Drosophila melanogaster: one gene and its partners. The protein of the gene in region 3 interacts with the protein of the main gene of each other region in a biochemical or structural test. Each region holds a gene or a part of one and is shown on either strand. Other genes may lie near its edges.

Evidence for each region.
Region 1: the proteins of Atg8a (region 3) and bchs form a complex in vitro, tested with the Drosophila melanogaster proteins (one study listed by BioGRID).
Region 2: the proteins of Atg8a (region 3) and dwg form a complex in vitro, tested with the Drosophila melanogaster proteins (one study listed by BioGRID).

The regions. Positions count from the first base shown.
Region 1 is NT_033779.5:5,905,572-5,911,493, reverse strand, and holds the start of bchs (blue cheese), read right to left. Parts: upstream 4,326-5,922; 5' UTR 4,207-4,325; intron 3,182-4,206; 5' UTR 3,150-3,181; coding exon 2,859-3,149; intron 2,805-2,858; coding exon 2,559-2,804; exon of another isoform or gene 2,447-2,558; coding exon of another isoform or gene 1,250-2,446; exon of another isoform or gene 1,205-1,249; intron 1,078-1,204; coding exon 723-1,077; intron 664-722; coding exon 477-663; intron 422-476; coding exon 1-421. Other genes in the region: CG14000 (uncharacterized protein), read left to right, coding at 1,250-2,446.
Region 2 is NC_004354.4:2,725,856-2,731,867, reverse strand, and holds dwg (deformed wings), read right to left. Parts: upstream 4,171-6,012; 5' UTR 4,037-4,170; coding exon 3,605-4,036; intron 3,324-3,604; coding exon 2,934-3,323; intron 2,872-2,933; coding exon 1,915-2,871; 3' UTR 1,826-1,914; downstream 1-1,825. Other genes in the region: ttm50 (tiny tim 50), read left to right, coding at 1-78, 151-334, 391-919, 979-1,102, 1,162-1,352; vilya, read right to left, coding at 4,384-4,576, 4,641-5,161; fs(1)Ya (female sterile (1) young arrest), read right to left, coding at 5,377-6,012.
Region 3 is NC_004354.4:10,763,912-10,771,112, forward strand, and holds Atg8a (Autophagy-related 8a), read right to left. Parts: upstream 4,428-7,201; 5' UTR 4,160-4,427; coding exon 4,070-4,159; intron 3,396-4,069; exon of another isoform or gene 3,257-3,395; coding exon of another isoform or gene 3,242-3,256; intron 2,746-3,241; exon of another isoform or gene 2,467-2,745; coding exon of another isoform or gene 2,419-2,466; intron 1,892-2,418; coding exon 1,694-1,891; intron 1,625-1,693; coding exon 1,547-1,624; 3' UTR 967-1,546; downstream 1-966. Other genes in the region: BTBD9 (BTB (POZ) domain containing 9), read left to right, coding at 4,810-5,382, 5,437-6,075, 6,144-6,590, 6,652-7,161.

The DNA of each region.
Region 1 (5,922 bases), on a different chromosome or scaffold from region 3:
GTTCAGTTGGAAGACAATGAACTCCAGCAGATCGTAGAATTTTTCTTGTATTTGCGGGCTTTTCATGTGTATCCGCTCTGCGAACGAACTAAGCGTTTGCTCCGATTCCAGGATAAAGTAGTTGGCATTTTCCGAGTGGTACACCCGCGAAATGGCGTCCAGTATTGTGCAGCAGAGCGCAGGCGTCGTTGACTTAAGGAACACGTTCTGCAGCACCTGGAAGGCGTACACATTTCGCACGCATGTCTCTCGTGAGGTGGCCTGTGGGAGCTGGAAGTTCTGCAGTTTGAAAGCCGTATTAAACTGCGAGGCTGGCGGTCGAAGCTCGTAAAAGCCACACATGCACAACGAAGAGATCATCAGTACCAGATTTCGAATGGCCGCTTGAATCTCCAATGATTGGCTACGATTGTTGTCAAACCTAAAAATTAATATGAATATTAAGAAGTGCTTAAAAAAAGAACTATTGTACTTACTTGAGTAGAAAATCACTGAGAAACACGTAACCTTGAGATGCACGAAAATCATCCATCAAAATCTGGGATACCTGACTGGAGTCCTTGAGAAAGCAGAACACGGTGACGAACATTTCAACGATCTCCAAAGGATTTCCAAACGTCAGGCGCTGCATATTGTCCACGCAAAGTGCCATGCAGCCCTTGGCTAAATTAAGAAACATTTTAAGAATATTTAGTCATAATGATTAAGTCCACCATACTTACAATGTATATAGCTAACTACGGCATCGGTTAGGCCATTCCTTGATATTGTGGTCAGGATTTCAGCTGCGTTCTTGCGCCATACAATATTGTGGATGGGACATGGCGATGTGATGGCCGAGAATAGCAGCGTCAAGTCGTCCATGCGAGCTAGTTCCTCAGCGGGATACGGATACGAGCACAGCTTGACCAGCAGCTGCACAAACACCTTCTGCAGAAGCGTCCGCCTTTCATGGGCATTAAACTCACTTACTGCTCCACCGTCAGCTGAAGGCTCATCGTCCTCAACTATGGGCAGGTCGAAGAACAAGTACAAGCACTTCACTAAAGTAGAGGGAACCGCCGCAGCAGTCATGACCTGAAATGCAGCAATATTAGAATTGCTTAGTTAGTTTAGATTTAACATCTTAATTTAAGCCCGCAGCCCCGGCGGTGTTTTGTATTTTGAGATACAACTTTTCCCGCAGAACCTTTTTCATCTGTTGCCAAAACTAAATCTAAACCATTTTAAACTAGAATACGTCTGTGAAATGAACCAGGTTTGGGTGTTTTTTAAACTCATCGAGGTGTTGCTGGGCAGTGTTTGTATGTTTTTCCACATACGCGGCTCATCCTACTGGCCAGAGCGTACTCCTCATGTGATCCTATATTGTGCCACATTTTCGTCCTTTACGGCGCTCGCCGCTCTAGGCGCGTTCCGACTGCTATTGGCTAGGAGTACGGTGCTCTCCTCCCAGCTCCTGCTCACACTGAGTGCCGTGCTGTCGCACTATTTCTGCGGCGTGCTGATAATGCGCACCGCCATGCTGGACCCTCACCTGGCCTTCATCAATTCTACCATCGAGTATCTGGAACATCCGCACTTTGCGCACTGCAAGCAGCAGAGCATCGCTGCGCTGGTTACTGGCACCATGTACCTGATGCACATGTTCCACGTGTTCGACCTGCTGATGCGCATGGAACCCGGCGACTGGAAACGTCAGGCGACTGGCCGTAAGTACTTTGAGGGAACAGAGTCTGGTTCAACCGGGCTATTTGTGCTTTCCAAGCCAGTGGACGACTTTCTATGCAAATGCTGCAGGTGCTACTATAAGTTGGCCAATTCTCAGATCCTGTACTTCCGGCCGAACGCGGAGGTGGAGCAGCCGCACTTTATAGTCCGCATGTGGCAGTTCATTGGGGATGCGCGTAAAAAGTTCTTTTCGCTGCATCAGATCGAGAGTGACGAGAGTTTTCTATCAACGCCAACAATAACCACCAGTGAATCGGATATCACACCGGTGGACACGGAGTACAGTGTGTACATGGAAGAGCAGGCCAATAAGATGCGCAGGTCTGCTTCAGCCTGGCGCGGCTCCAGCGATTCCTCGAGCTTGTGGGCCAAAATCGAGGACAGGAGCACTGTTAGCCTTGTTTCAACTCGGTCAAGTGAGAACAGCGAGGCCACAATGAAACCCATTCAAATGGATCGGAAGCTAGCCCGGCGATCTTCCATGTGGGCGGACACTGAGAAAAGGGAGAAATCGGAGATTTTGCTGGTAGAACAGGGCTCTAGCTATTCTCGGCTCAGAACTTTAAGCAATGCTGAATTGGTCCATAAGCCAAGCGATGCGGGAGAAAAGGAACAACAAGTTCCAGATGCAGCCAACCCAAATATTACAAATGAAGAAGCTACGAACTCACACATCGAATTCTCTTTGAAGCCTGGAACTGAGAAAACTTCGTGAATTTGATGACGACTTTCCCTAACGAAAATTGTAGCTATTGAAATTTTTTGTTTTGATTACGTCGATGTATTTTTACCATAAGATACTATAGCAGTTTATAAATGAAACATACCTGTATGAGAGATACGTCTCCATTGGCCAACAAATTGAGGGTAGCCAAAAGCATCCATCCGCTGCTGGTTTCCTCGGTGGTTTCCACCTCGAGAAACTTGACTATGGCAATGGATGCCGCCTCTGTGCTCTGGTTGGAGGCGCGCTTGCGGATTTCGCTGACCATGAGACGGGACACTTGCTGGCAGAAGGCGACCACGTCCCAGAACTTTTCGCTCATGTCGTTTGACGGACAGCTGCTGAAGACCTGTAAGAATGGGGAGTTAGTGGCCTATTCCTCCATACCGACTGATTCACTCACTTTGCAGAAGAGGGGCAGCATCTCGTAGAGCTTGTCATCGCGCTCCTGTTCGCTCAGCGGCTCCCGCGGATGAGTGTATTCGTTGAATAGCTTCTTTAGCGTGGTGAGGCTCACTTGGACGCGGGCGTCCATCAGCGCCTCCTCCGCATTCCGTCCATTTGCAGCGGTCGGTGCACCAGCATCCGTTCTGCTGCTCCCTGGTGAACTGTTGTTCGCCGTCGAGGTTCCGCTACTGCTGCCGCTGACGCTGCCTGCGCTGGCCGCTCCGCGCAGCTTACGCATTACATTCATCTTTGTGTTTGTTGATTTGCGGTAAGATTAATCTAAAAGAGAGAAAATTAAGTTGACTTAATACAAAATATAAGACTAATCTAATGGCTGTACTATGAGGAATGTCATTGATTTTTTTGCAAGGGGGTGGCACTTTCTACATGTGTTTTAATAATGGTGATTCACTTGTTTACAATGTTATGCCGTTTAAAAAGATTATATATTATTCGATAAAGGTGTAAAAAGATATTTCATAGTATTTTGAAACTTTTTACTGCTGTAGTTTAATGAACTTTCCCACTTTCATGCAGGTTTCAGTTCAAAACGTGTCGCTTCGCATTTAAACATATGTTTCCATAGAACCTGTGCTTATTGTAGATATTGTATCTTTTGAACATTGGAGGTGAGATATTTTGGCGATTTATTTGCACAGCACTGACACTTTCAATTGAGTGGCTTCCAAATCACAACCGCGCACAGTGCAGTTGGCGTTATGGCTTGTTTTCGCAGCTATTCTATTTCTGCTGCCGCCGCCTTAATTAGCGGCCGCTGGAGGTGAATCACACGAAAAGTGCGATCATTGTATTCGGTGCGAGTATTAACTTTTCGCGAGTGAATGAACGTTGCCTCTGTCGCCGACTCGATTCGATTCGTACGCCTACATAGCGAGCAAGCGATTAACCGATAGTGGTTATTATTCCATATATTCGGGAAATATTTACATTTTGTGCGAGACAGCTGTTCTTGGTTTACTTATTGCGCACTTGTTTGTTTACTCCAACTCCCTTTGAAACTACCGACTATCTGACCTCTCTTTTCTGCCAACGCATTTGGTTCAGCTAACGGCCGCTCTGTTGTTGCTTTTTCGTAGTCCGCTTAGCGCTCTCTTTCGTGTCGCACTTTGTTTTGCTCCAGTCAATCGCGCCTCACGACAATTTTATTGATTTTTCTTCCTCTCTCGCGTACTCTCACTCGGCCTCTCTGCCCGCCACCCACCCTTGAACAAACCAGCAGATAGGTCGAATTTGAAAATTTTCACATGCACTTTTCCGGCTTATTTCGTGCAGCCGTCACTTACTTTTGCTATCCGTCGCTAGCATTGTGTTTCCCGTGTGAGTTTTCACTATTTTGGGCCCTAAATGCACTCGTTTTACATCTTGTTTCACGTATGAAAATATGAACCAAATTTTCTCCAGCTTTTCGTCTGTACTCTCTTTTCGTTATTCTGTCGAGTGTTGCGTAGCGCTGCCAGTGGTATCAGCTGTTCACATTTTCCACCACCGCAGCCAGTGCTCATTAAGACCAAACGCCAGTGCTGCATTTTGAATTATGATCGGCGGTCTAGCTTTGGCATTTCAAATTCAACTGTACTGATAAGCAAATAAACAAGACCGATTTGTATTAATCTACTTCATTTTATTATTTTTATTTAATACAAAATCTTTTGTATGTCGCCAACGATGTGCTTATCTTCAGATTGTATATATTAGATCGCTTACTAAACTAATGGCAACAGTTTAATAGAACTAAACTGATTTATCTCATAAACTTAGCATCTAAATTGATACTTAATTAGCACTTACTTAATGTTCATGTGTGCTCATAATTAAGTTCATTATTGTTAATAATATTATATGAGTGCTTTCGCATCTCGGCTAACAATTGGTATTCTTAGGCCATTGGCCATTAATTTCCAAATTTCTCTCTCGCCCAATATTCGCATGAGTGTGAGATTCTTTATTGATTCTGGCTAGGGGTTATTAATATTTGTGTTTGTACTTACAGTTGTTATAATTGTCAGCATCAACAGATAGCTGTCGGATATGACAACAAATTTATTTGCATATTGATTGAACGAACACCCGATGGCGAACTTCATGCGTTGATAATGATGCTATTTGCTGACTCATTTGTGGCAGAGAATGCTGTAAGTTTATTGGGATTGATTGATTGGTAAGGCCATTAAATGCCACGCACGTCCTTCTGATCTAATTTCCCTGTACCCGAAACCAATTCGCTGTGTCTCCCCATTTTAATGCGGATAAAATTTCGTTTTTGAATCAATTAGGGGTGCAAAAGAATAAAGGCGTGTCGTGCTAAATATTTAGTTAGTAGTTATCCCCATGACCAACTGCCTCGCTCCCCAAAAATAGTTTACCTTTGGGCGTTGGCCCCGCCACGCCCACTGACCCCTTGCGTGACTGCCCGTATCCACCCGCTCCCACAGTCCTCTTCAGTTTTCCAGCTAGCCAGCCAGCCACATAAGCTAAGCTCGGAGTTCCCTAATGCTTGTTTATGTGGGAAAGCGTTTGGGATTGGCACTTCTCCAGGTATTATATCTTCCCACCCAGACAGGTACTTTGCGCACTTTCCCGCCCGACAAACCCCCCACCGCGATTTGTGGGGCAGGGTTGTGGGGAAAGTCCTTTGTCTGCGGCAATATTCTAATGGATTTTTCCGTTTCAGTTATAAATAGAGGCCCCCTACAACTGACAAAAACGGGAACAATATCTCAGGTGCCAAGAAGGGGTAGACCAGTAAAATGATATTCGGTAGATTGATAGCGCACTAAAAAAAAAAACTCGTGAAGTTGGCGCGAACATTCTATTTACATACAAACTCTTATGAGTAAAGTGACATCAGCCTATTTCATCCGCTTAATCTTCCTTTAAAGGTGAAGTGCAATACCCAGCAAAATTTTAAGTGGATTTTTAAGTGAATTTTCCGAGGACCGCATATGCTGCTCGAGGCGTTTCCGGAAAATTTAAAAGTGTAACCCCAAAAATCATTTGCA
Region 2 (6,012 bases), 8.0 Mb from region 3:
CTTGCACAGCACTGCCAGCGGCTGCTCCGGCGCTCTTCTCGATCCTGCACACAGCGCGTGGCTACAGCAGCACAACCAGTAAGTGATTCACGGTAGAGTCCTAAACAGTAGAGTCCTAAACATTCATCCTTGGCCACTTTCGTTTCGCAGAGCAGGAAGCTGGAGCCACTGGCCCCAATGATGCGCCCGAGGTCGCACCGAATGCCCCGCTGCTGGCCAAGCTCTTTCCTCAGACCTCGCCGGAGGTGGACAGCAACGCCGAGCAGGAGCGCAAGAAGCGCGAGGAGGAGGAGGAAAAGGAGAACGAGCGTGCCTGGAAGCGCATGAAGCTGGGGTAAGCTGACGCCCATTCAATGCGTAACAGTATTATAACAATACTTCCTGCTGCAGCTTTGCAATATTCGGAGGCAGCGCCGTGGCTGCTGGATTCTGGGCCGTCTACGAGTTCGGCAAGCCCGAGGTGGACCCCAACGGGCAGCCCATCGAGGACGAGTTCACACACAAGCCGCTGGTACAGCAGTATCTGCAGCGGATGTGGAAGAGCATTCACTACTATCAGCGCATGATCCAGGAGCCGTCGCGCGCCAAACTGCTGCCCGATCCGCTCAAGCCGCCGTACGTGCAGCCGCGCTACACGCTTGTGCTGGAGATGAAGGACGTGCTGGTGCATCCGGACTGGACTTACCAAACTGGCTGGCGCTTCAAGAAGCGTCCCGGCGTCGACCACTTTCTGGCCGAGTGCGCCAAGGACTTTGAAATTGTCGTCTTCACCGCCGAACAGGGCATGACCGTGTTCCCCATCCTGGATGCCCTCGATCCCAACGGCTACATTATGTACCGCCTGGTCAGGGATGCCACGCACTTTGTGGACGGCCATCATGTGAAGAACCTGGACAACCTTAATCGCGACCTCAAGAAGGCAAGTCATGCACAACGTATTTTCTATTGCAATCATCTATAAAGAAGGGAGTATTTTAGGTGATTGTTGTGGACTGGGATGCGAATGCCACCAAGATGCATCCGGACAACACATTCGGCTTGGCCCGCTGGCATGGCAACGACGATGATGGCCAACTGCTGGACCTTATCGCTTTCCTAAAGAGTAAGTTGCGCCACAAGTGACATTGAAAGCTAAACACTGACCCTTGCAATTCGCTACAGTAATTGCGCAGAACAACGTGGACGACGTGCGCGAGGTGCTCCACTACTATCGCCAGTTCGACGATCCCATCAACCAGTTCCGGGAGAACCAGCGCAAGCTGGCCGAACAAATGCTGGAGGCGGAACGCATCGAGCAGTCCAAGACCAAGCCAATGGTCAAACAGTGGTCGCGCAACATTCTCGGCCGCTAGGAGGCTGGCCATACCGCACAACCCGTTCCATACGCATACCTTAACCTTCCGCCTGCGCCGGAGCAACAAACACGCCCTGCAGCAGCACACTGGCCATATTTTTCGTCGACTTTTGGAGTAGTTAGTGGGAAGCAGTAGCAGACAGCAGACAGCAGGATTGGGAGGCACGCTCTGTCTTTTGCTCCTTTGGGAAAAGACGAGGCGCATGTTTTTGTTTTATTGAATAACTAAACTTGCTTGTTTTTGTTTTTTGGCAATTTAATCGTAATATTATTATTATAAAGAGACGACTTAACCGTAAAACCAAAAACAAGACATCCATGTGTTTCGTTACGAAAGTGGAGAACTTGCTGTGCGTTATCTAATCACAATTGATGGATAAGAGTGGCTAAACCTGCTGAGATAGTTATCGTGAAAACAAAATTATTTTTATGTATGTAAAAAATAAGTGTCGAATTTTCTTTCAGTTTTTTCTGGAACAAAAATCAGTTTTATTGAACTAAGTGTCTAATCCTTAGCCTAGGCTTACATTCTAGAGCCGCTCCCACGGCTTGGTGGCCGCTCACAGCACCATCACCACTTTGGAGGTGGACACCGGCTGCTCATGAACTTCGGTTATGTGAAGGTTGGTTGCCGATCCACCGGTCGCACCTCCACCGGTCGGACTTCCACCTGTCGCACCTCCGCCTGTCGCACCTTCTGCGCCCGCTTGTCGGCTGGGAGGATTGATGGACTGAACAGCAACGGTGGCCGTCACCGGCGACTCCTTGTTGTGGACGCGCATATGACTGGCCAGTCGCTTCTTTGTGGGAAAGGCCTTAACGCAGACCTCGCACTTAAACGGCTTTTCGCCGGAATGGAGGCGAACATGGGCATTGAGGTTGCTGGTAAAGGTGAAGGCATGCCCGCAAACATCACACTTGTGCGCCTTGACGCCACTGTGGACCATCATGTGCTTCTTGTAGCCCGACTTCTGAGACAGTCCCACGCCGCAGATCTCGCAGGTGAAAGCCTTCTTGCCGGTGTGGCTTATCTTGTGCTGGCGCAGCGAGGACGAATCGTAGTAGGCCTTGTCGCACAGATCGCAGGCGTATGGTCGCTCGCCCGTGTGCGTGAGCTTGTGGCGCCGCAGATGATCGAACGCCGCATATCCGCGGCCGCACTGATCGCAGTTGTAGGGTTTCTTCTCCGCATGAGTTCTCTTGTGCACTGCCAGACTGGAGGTGGTACGATAGAAGCGGCCGCATATGCTGCACTGGTGCGGCTTGACATTTGTGTGTGTCAGCATGTGTTCCTTGTAGTTGCGTAGGTGCTTCAGACGCTTGCCACACTCCTCGCACTCGTATTGCTTCTCGTCCACGTGGGAGCGCATGTGCTGGTTGAGACGGCACTGCTGGCGGAACGCCTTCTGGCACACGGTGCACACGTACGGCAGCGCCTCGCCAGCGGTCGGCGGCGCTGAGTCCAGCGACTCCTCCAGGAAGTCCTCATCTTCGCAGACATCCTCCGCCTCCGGCAGCTGTGTGTAGGTGAATGGAGGATAAATGGTATTCTAGTGCAATATAATTTGACCTTTCTCACCAGATGCTCCTCGCGCCCATCCCCCTCCAATTCGAGGGTCTCCTCGCCGATGACCTCGTCAATGGCTCCCTCGGCGGGTATCACAATCATCTGACAGTCCAGTATGGCGTCGTGGGCGCCGGAGTCGTTCATCACCTCGAACTCATCCTCCTCCGTGACGATCGTTTCGAACTCATTCTTAATGGTCACATACTCCACTTCGGCGGGCTGAAACTCATGCACGCTCTCCATAGTGATGTGTTCCTCCTGCTGGTCGCCCGACTGTGCCAGCTGGTGCTCCTCCTCCGACAGCTCGTCATCCTGATCCACCTCCTCGGTGAGAAACTCCTCCTCCTCATCCACGGTCATCGCGAAGATGCGACGATCCTCCTCTGCTAGTTCTTCATCCAACTGCGGATGAAGAAGGTGTTATGGTTTTACTTTGGAGTTAGACTTGATGAAGCCCATCTCCTATTTAGACGTAGTGTCACCAAGAGCAGACAAGTTATCCATTGTATGGAGGTACAGGTTGCACTCCTTTGGCACCGACCTACCCTACTACATCCCAAAGAGCCACAATATAAGTGAATCGATTTGAGTGACTGGTGCCCGCTGTGAGCAATCGTTAATCCTCTATGGGAGTGGACAAGAACCATTGCATTCCATTGCACCGTGAAGTGATAGATACTTACATTGGCGACGTTCTCCTGCTCCTCGTTGAGCATCTCGATCATGACGTACTCCTCGGTGGAGTCGAACGCCTGCTGTTGCTGGTCGTGCTGCTGGCTCTGGTTGGGGCTATGAGTCTGACTCTCGTGAAAGCTGGAGCAGCGCGCCTCGTCCAGGCCCAGGCGGAGCAGCTCGTCCGAATCGATGACCATGCGCTTGAAGTTGAACGCCTGTTCCAGCAGCTGCAGGCAGTGGAGGCAGATGTGCTGCGGCATGGCGGCGCCGTCTTGCGGCTCGAACGAGAGTCCCGTGCAGTAGTTTAGCATGCTGGCCAGCGTGGTGCTGCCCTCCGAACCCAGATCGATCTCCTCCTGCAGCGGCTTGTGCAGCTTGCAGGCACGCGTGCACGTCCGGCAGTTGAGCACCACTACCTCGGCGATCTTGCTATTCATCATGATGTCCTTATCCGCTTTCCCCTGTGGTTCTTGTCGGACAGCGCCGGATTTGCCGCTTTTATGACGTTTCGCTCTTCTACTTCTTGCAATTCAATTTTTATGCGTTTTTAGAGCAGATGCTTATGCGATATTATCGGTGCAGCAGTCATCGATGGATTTCGATTAATCGAATTCACTTTCAACACTTCTGTTATCCTAACGAAACTGTTAATTGAAACTTAACGGTCGCTGTTAACTTAGCAGTTTATTATTTTAAAGCTTATGACACCATTTTATTGTTTTAAGCTGATTATTTACAAAAAATATATACTCGGTTGTAAAACAGAGCTTTACCTATCAGCACTAGCTCACAGATCGAACGAGTTGTTCGGCGGGTGTATGAAGCTGGTGATTTGCTGCCGCTTTGCTGATTCCGTTGATCGGCGTCGACTGGAGGACTGTGTGGCTGTTCCACGGCCACGAGGACGTCCGCGCGCCGAGCGTTGGGCGGATGACGAGGATTGCGAAGTCAGCGAGCGGCTTCGGTAGGCCTGGGCCATCCTAAGGCGGGTAGAAATATAATGCATTAATGGGAACTATTTTCAATGGAATCCAAATGTCGCACCGATGCATTTCCGCCTTCCGATTGGCGACTTCCGCCTTAATGTAGCGCGACCTCTGCATCAGCTTCTTGCGCTCCACGCGCAGCATCTGCGCCTCCAGGAAGCGTTTCTGGCACACGGACTTGGCCACCTCGATGTCCTTGAACAGCTTATCCATCTCCAGTTCCTTCCTCTCCTTGTACTTGTCGAAGTGCCGATGATTGCCGCGCTGGAACGTCTCCACAAAGTCGTTGCCGATGGTGAAGGGCTCCGGATGGAAGAGCTGCTTGAAGTGGTTGGGCATCGAGTTGGTCAACTGGCGGCCGCGCACGCTCCGCCGACAGGTGGAGCATTCGAATATGGGCGCGTCGCTGGGCGTGCGGCCGGCGGAGACCTTGACGCACCGCTCGCAGAACACGTGATGGCAGGCGAGCAGGAAGAAGGTGTGCTTCTTATCGCAGAACAGGGCGCAGCAGCTGTTGCAGTGGATCCACAGCTTGGACGCCTCCGGCTCGACAGTCTGACCTGCTTGTGATTTCGCCATGGGCGCTCCGTTAAGCTTTTCGATCTTGTGCGCAACTAATTAATAACAGAATCAATAGATAGAGTTGGCAGCTCTGAATGAGACGAGCTAAGCTCCTGGACCTGCCAACTCCTGCTGCGCATAACGGTTAATGCAAGACCAAACATTTATTAAACGATAAAAAAAAAGAAGAATTTCACAATTAAAACACAGATTCGCAGGCAAAAGCTTAAAACCTACTGGCGACGCATGCGCTCGATGGGCTCCCTGGGCCGGATGCGGTAGCGCTTCGAGGAGCTGGACGGCGACAGCGGGCTACAGTACTGGCTGTCCAGCGTCTGAGTGCGCTTTCTCTTGAGGCACTGCTGGTCCTCCATGGAGGAGTCCCTTGCACTGGGGCGCACCAGGGATCCAGCGATGGAGGCGCAGCGACGGATGAGTGAGCCCGAACCAGCGTTCTCCTTATCCGAATCCCTGTCCCTGTCCCTGTCCTTTTCGCGTTCGCCGCGCAAGCTGGCCGGCAGTCGCATCATGGAACTCATCAGCGACCACAGGCGACCGGAGTTGGGCGCCTCCAGCTTTTTGTCGTTGCACGTGGAGGCGTTTGTGGGGCGGAACACCTCGTCCTCCTCTTCTGCGTCCACGACCTCCGGCTCGCCCACATCCTGCACGCCGCTATAGACCCTCTGCTGACGGCATTCCCGCAACGGAGGACGCACCCTGGGTTGCTGCAATGGCGGCGAGATCAGGGCCATCACCGCCAGCCCCTTCTCCTTCGGCTTATCCTTCTTGGGCGAAAACTCGCCGCTCAGCTGGCGCGGCACAATCGCCTGGCGATGACGACGCTCTGGAATTTCCGGCGTTCCCGGTTC
Region 3 (7,201 bases):
CTCAATTTTCACTTTGTTACTAATTTCCGTCGTCACGAGTTACAACAGCAACACCACCACCAACAACAACAGAGACACAATCATATGCACAACAACAAAAACACGAATAGCACAGCAAAAACAAACAATTCGCAACAGCTAATAGATTTTCATCTGATGTTTCCTTTCTGCACCTTTCCGAGCTGTTCGGTAACGTGTCCGTTGTTTGTTTAATCCGGCTTTTCAGTGGCCGATCCGACAAGGTGGACTTTAGTTTACCTGCTTCTCTGACAGTTTGGCACGGTGTTTTTACAAAACCTTTTCGGTGAAAAACTGCGAGGCCAACGAACAGTGTTGCCAGATGGTGAAATTGGCTAAAAAATCCACGAAATTCAAACGTGCTCAGTCGTCCGCCAAATGCGTCAAAAATACTAACTACCAAAAATATATCGCAATTTAATCGTACTTATTGTGTGGAGCTGTCCCTTTTTAGCACATGCTCTCCTTATGGCTGACTTGAGATATTGCTTTGCAGCACTTGATGGTGTGACCAGCTGTGTTTTGATGACAGTGCTGCCCATAAAAACGTTTGTGGGCGGCAATTTTGAATGGCTAGCAAAGTGCCTTTGCTGCGATAAGATAAGCAAACAATAAACAAAGTGATTTCTTTTCAATTTAATTTGCACACTTAAACTTTTGCGTTGCGAATGGTATCATAAGTACTACCTTTTACGCCTTCAATTTAAAATAAATAAATGCTTTTGTTACTAATAGCAAAGAATAAAAAAAAACACCCACTCATTGCTAAAGCTCATTTCATTTTTAAAAGATAAGGACTCATTGTTCGGTGAACAAAAGAAAAAGCAGTATAAAATAACTTCTTCCTGTCACTTATCGCTGAATCATCTAAGCGTGATATACGTGATTGCAAACTGAAAACGAAGAACAATCCAAATAAACAAACACCCTTTGCATGTGTATTTTTGTGGTTTTTGTTTATTTAATAATAGATTAATTACCGTACACTTAACCGAGAGAGTCCTATTCGTAACCATACACACTAAATATGCACAGAATTTTGTTGCATCGTGAATAAAAAAAAAAATAGTGAATTCATTGAAATATTAGCAAAGTAACAAAGTAAAGTACAAAGCATTCGCACGGATCAATTACAGCAATGGAAATTAAATGGCCCAGAAAGGGTGTGAATAGATCTGTTTTTTGTGGGGAAAGTTGGTTGGTTGGTTGTTTCGTTAATGGGTAGGACACAAAGCAGAGTTTAATTGAAATACTAACGCGTTTGGAAAATGTATATATATAAAATAATGTTCACATAACAATTGTTTTTGTAGTTTTCGGTTTTTGTGGATTTTTTTTGTTGCCCTGCGTATCAGATCAATTTCAAGTTCTTTTCATGTGGCATTTCCTGCGGTTTTCCTCAATTCGTTTAGCTAACTCGCCGTCCATATTGTAAGCTTGCATGCTAAACACAAAATATATTTTATTTATATATAGATTTCTGTATAGGGGGGGGGCTTCATTCCGATGCATCCCGACCGGAGCAAAGTTAGTTAATTTTGGCCATGCCGTAAACATTCTCATCGGAGTAGGCAATGTACAGGAAATAGTCCTCCTCGTGATGTTCCTATAAAAATACATCGAACGTATGTGATTCGATTGCAAGGCTAATAATAATGGGCATTGTGGTAATTACCTGGTACAGGGAGCCCATGGTAGCCGATGTTGGTGGAATGACGTTGTTCACAAAGAAGAAGAGGGCATCCTCGGGACGCAGGTGGATGCGCTTGCGAATGAGGAAGTAGAACTGACCGACGGTCAGGTCGGAAGGCACCAGGTACTTCTTCTTGTCCAAATCACCGATGCGCGCCTTGGGAGCCTTCTCGACGATGACCTTTGGGTTTAAATAGAAGAAGAAATACAGGAGGTGAGTTGTTGTTGCGGGCTACTTGTGCATGTTAATGTGCGCACATTTCGCACCTGATTACGTGCCCAATAAGGCTCACATATTTGGCTACAAATGGCATTTGCATTGCTGGAAGCAAGTGTGCTCGAATACGTGCTACCTTGGAATATGATAATGCCGAAAACATAAACTATAGTCTTATGAATTCTGATGCTTGCTATCTAGTGTACAAAATACCTTAATATTAATTGAAAACTAATTTGTTTACGAACAACTATACCTGATTGTTATTGGCCTGACTCATATTATATTTAGACAGGAAAATGAGTAATTTCGTAATTTCAGTCAGTAATTTCGTAATGCATTTTGGAATTTCGTAAGTTGGAATGTGTAATTACACACACGTGTGTTTTTGTTCACATATTATTTTTAAGCCAAATTCAATGCATTTTTCAAGGGGTATATGTTTTGTAATATAATTAAGATTTCTAGCACCTGTTTACATTCAAGTTCACCTGTATCATCTGTTTTTTTTTGTTCATTATGCAAAAACACATACACATTTTACAGCATTTTAGCCAAATTGATCACCAAGACGACCAAGTTGGTCATTGAAGTGAGCTTTGTAACGAATCTACTGCATTTCCTTGGCTCTGGAATAATTGCTAGCTGGCCTAGACTAGACGATCCGTTCTAGCCAGGGGCTCATTAGTTAGCCTTAGCCAAATTATTGGCAAACTGGTTTGTCCAATTTTTTTTTTTTGGAACAGGAAGCGGGTGCCAACATAGTGAATACGAAATGGGCAAAAACTGCTTGTCGCGAATGCCACCCCTCTATACACTAGTGTTCTATCGAAATTCGTTATCGTCATTGGCCGAACTCAAGGCACAAGTATGAGATGTGCTAGTACGTATGTATGTACTAAGTATATTCTATAGAATTCGGATATATATGGATATGCTGGTGGTCCGAGCGACCAGCTGGCCTTGCCCCTCGCTCAGCTGTTATGTGATTTGTGATTTGGCACTGCTGCACTTGCCAAAAAAAAAAAACACTAAAATAACACTGGCAATAATATTTCGGGGGTGCATATATAGCGCACATATGTACATATTTGTACATATATACATATGCATATGCAGTCCGAATCAAAATCGAAAACAAGAACTGCACTTTTCGCTGCGATTGGGGCACCTTCAGCAGTTTGTCGTTTCGTTTCGTTTGGTTTTGTTTTGGTTTTTGTGAAAGGAGTTTTCGCTGATAACGTGGTGAAATGCATACATACATAGCAGAAAAACAACAAAGAAGAAGCAGAAGATGTTTTTGTTTTTTTCAACCTTTCTGTTTTCCATTTTTTTTATTATTTTTGTTTTGTGTTCAGCAGCGCATCTATGACTAATTCCAGTCGCACTTTGTGTATTTGCGAAAAACAAAACAAGCAGCGCTAGTATAAGTGTGTATTAGTGAGTATTAGTGACTTTTTTTATGCGCAGTACTCGCTCGTTTTGCCAACAAACAAACGAAATTAAAATCGAAAACAACTGGTTGGTGCACACACAGAAAAAAAACGGGGTGGTCAAAACTTTGCTTGTAACTAAATTATGATGACAGATAGATATATGCGATTTTCTTGCTGTGTAGCCAGAGGGTGGGATAGAGGAGAGGAAGAGGTGGCACAGATGAAATCTAGCACTGAAAACAACAACATCACAACAGCTGAGCAAGTGAAACGGCTGCTTTGTTCTCTCCCTTTTTTTGCTTTTGTTTTTTCCTGTCGACATCTGTGTGCCTGTGTGCGCGTGTATGCGTGCGTATGTGTGTATGCAGGGGGCAGAATTTTCGTTTGAATTTCTTTTGAGAGCTTGTCGCCTGTTCCCCCCACCAGTAATGCAAAATGCACTTTATGCAATACCCATCGCACAAATTTCCCCAGCCACCTGATGTGCCAGTGCAATAATATTGTAATAACAATCGAAATACCCAATATGCGCAGTATTGATTTTCTTCGGTGCAAACACAAAAAAAAAGAGCGAGAAAAAAAACGACGCAAAACAAACGCATACACAGAAGCTCGCACATACACACACACTCGCACGCATATATACACACACACACACGTCTCTTTATACCTATATGCATTTATATATATATTTTTGAGTACTTACGGGCACACGGTCTGGATATTTGCGACGGATCTTGTCGCCCTCGGCGCGACGCTTCTCGAAGGCGTGCTCCTCCTTGTATTGGAACTTCATGATTGCAATGAAGAGGTAATTGGCTAAGAAACGCAGCTTCTATCACTTCGTTTGCTTTTGGGACTGTGCCGAATATCGATGCGTTGCTGAGCTTGTGTTTTTCTCTTCTCTGTTTTCTCGTACAAACGGTACGAAATACTTGTGTAGAGTGACCGTGCGCAGCAGTTGACAGAGCGCTTCGGTCTAAAAATCGATGACTTGCTGGTTTTATCGATAAGCACTCGCACTGTGGTGACTGCACTCGCTAACTGCTGTGGCTAGACTGACCGTGTGTGACCAGTGAGCGCGCAGAGACACCAACCCGAAACGCGCTAATAGTGGTGGCATATTAGACAGACACCATTTGGTTCATGTATTCGCTAAATGTTATCGGATGCAACCATGTGGTTCATGTGCTCGCTAGCAGACGGCTGTCGATATGGTTGTTGTACGCGTTAAATGGTATACACACCTACGGTCACACTGCACATATAACAGTTTTTCGCCGCAATAGAAGAATCCCTATTGTGCCATCGATATTATCGATATCACTAACTGTCATCGATGGATTGACGCAGCAGGCGAGACGAAACGTTAATTGTCAACTGTTCCCTCTGGCTGCTTACACACATAAATACACATCGCACGGAAGAAAAACAAAAAAGAGAAGGATGAGCAGCCAGGGACACCATAAGATGTCCGGCGGCGGCAAGAAGGGCGCCATGGAGCAGGACTACACCGACGTGGTCGATCTGGGCGATCGCTTCTCAGCGGACATGGCGCGCCTCTGCATGAACGAACAGTACGCGGACGTGGAGTTCATCGTCGAGGAGGAGCGCATACCCGCCCACCGCGTCATACTCGCGGCACGCAGCGAATACTTCCGGGCGCTGCTGTACGGCGGCATGGCGGAGACCACACAGCGCCAAATACCGCTTGAGGTGCCGCTGGAAGCGTTCAAGGTGCTGCTGCGCTACATTTACTCGGGCACACTGCTGCTGTCCACATTGGACGAGGATTCCACCATCGATGTGCTGGGCATGGCCAATCAGTATGGTTTCCAGGATCTGGAGATGGCCATATCGAATTATTTACGCCAGTATCTGGCCTTGGACAATGTCTGCATGATTCTTGATGCGGCGCGTCTATACAATCTAGAGGAACTCACCGAGGTTTGCCTAATGTTCATGGATCGCAATGCCGGCGACCTGCTGCTGCACAACAGCTTCAATACGCTATCCAAGGTAAGTTCACAACCAATTGGTAAAGTTGGCACTAAGAGTATGTAATGCTTACAGGAATCGCTGGAGGAGGTACTACGGCGTGACTGCTTCTTCGCCCCCGAGGTGCAGATCTTTTTGGCCGTGTGGAAGTGGAGCCGCTTCAATAGCAACGTGGACTTCAAGTCCGTGGTTAGTTATGTCCGCCTGCCACTGATGAACCTCGAGCATCTGCTGCAGGTGGTGCGTCCCTCGGGCATCCTGGATCCCGACAAGATTCTCGACGCCATCGACGAGCGCAGCACTTCAAAGGCGCTGCCCTACAGGGCGGCGCTCTGGCCGGAGGAAAACGTGGCCGCGGAGACGTTTTTGTCGCGCTGCATCCAGGGAGAGTGTCGCGACGCGCTGCTGGATGGAGATGTGACCACCTATGACATGGAGAACGGGTATACGCGCCACTGCATTACGGACAGCAAAGATGCGGGCATTGTGGTCGAATTGGGCACGTTCTGCATGATCAATCACATTCGCATGCTGCTCTGGGACAGAGACAGCCGGGCGTACTCCTACTACGTTGAGGTGTCCGGCGACCAGCAGCATTGGGATCGCGTGGTCGACTACAGCGACTACCACTGCCGCTCCTGGCAATACTTATACTTCGAAGCACGACCCGTCAGATTCATTCGACTGGTGGGCACCCAGAACACTGTAAACCGGGTAAGTCAGCAGTGATCTCTTCAAACTTTCCCCATTCTTTAACTTTTTCCCTTTCCATTAATATATAGGTATTCCATGTTGTGGGTCTGGAAGCCATGCACACGGCCAAGGTGCCGCGTTTAGTTAACCATTTTGTGGCGCCCAAGACGAACGTGGCCACCGTAGAGATGAGCGCCATTGTGACGGACGGCGTGAGTCGCACCCGCAACGCGCTTATCAACGGCGATTATGTGCGCTACGACTGGGACTCGGGATATACTTGCCACCAATTGGGCAGCGGCGAGATCGTCGTCCGTTTGGGCCAACCCTACTATTTGGGCTCAATGAGGCTGTTGCTGTGGGACTGCGATGATCGCACCTACAGCTTCTACATCGAAATTTCGACGAACCGCAAGGAATGGCAAATGGTCGTGGACCGCCGCAACGACAGGACCCGCTCCTGGCAGAACTTTCACTTTACTCCGCGTCCAGTGGTCTATATCCGCATTGTGGGCACACGCAACACAGCGAATGAGGTACGTAGCAGTGCAGCGCCACAAAACATGTCCGATAAGCTAATGCTCTCCTTGCTCTTAGATCTTCCACTGCGTCCACCTCGAATGTCCGACCCAGGACAAAAACTACTTAAAGAAGATAGCCGACATGGAGAAGGAGCGCGAGAAGAGGGAGAAGGAGAAGAAGACGGCCAAGACTGACGATGACAATATTGCCTCTACCTCGGGATCCTCGTTGGCTTCAGGCCATGCTGAAAGTCCCTCCACTTCCTCCAGCAGCAGCCAAAGCGTTTTAAGGTCCATCCACTGGCCGCCACAGACAAGGGAAGTGGCCGTTGCCCCACTCACTCCGCCAGCACTCTCCCCGCCCGGCACGCCAGCACTTCCGGCTCCTCTGACCCCGGCAACCTCGTCGCCGCATAACAACCATGAACAAAATCAGCCAAGTAATATCAGTGCAGACGCAAGCCACCACACCAGTCCAAGTTCAAGGAGCAACCCCAGTCCCAGCCTAAGTAGGAGCAGAAGCCAGAGTGCGGAGTTGGAGCCAGTGCCGCCATTGGTTGAGCTTGACACCAGGGAGACGCTCTGAGCTGATCGCCGCTGCGGCCGATAATGTTTTGTACTTGAAA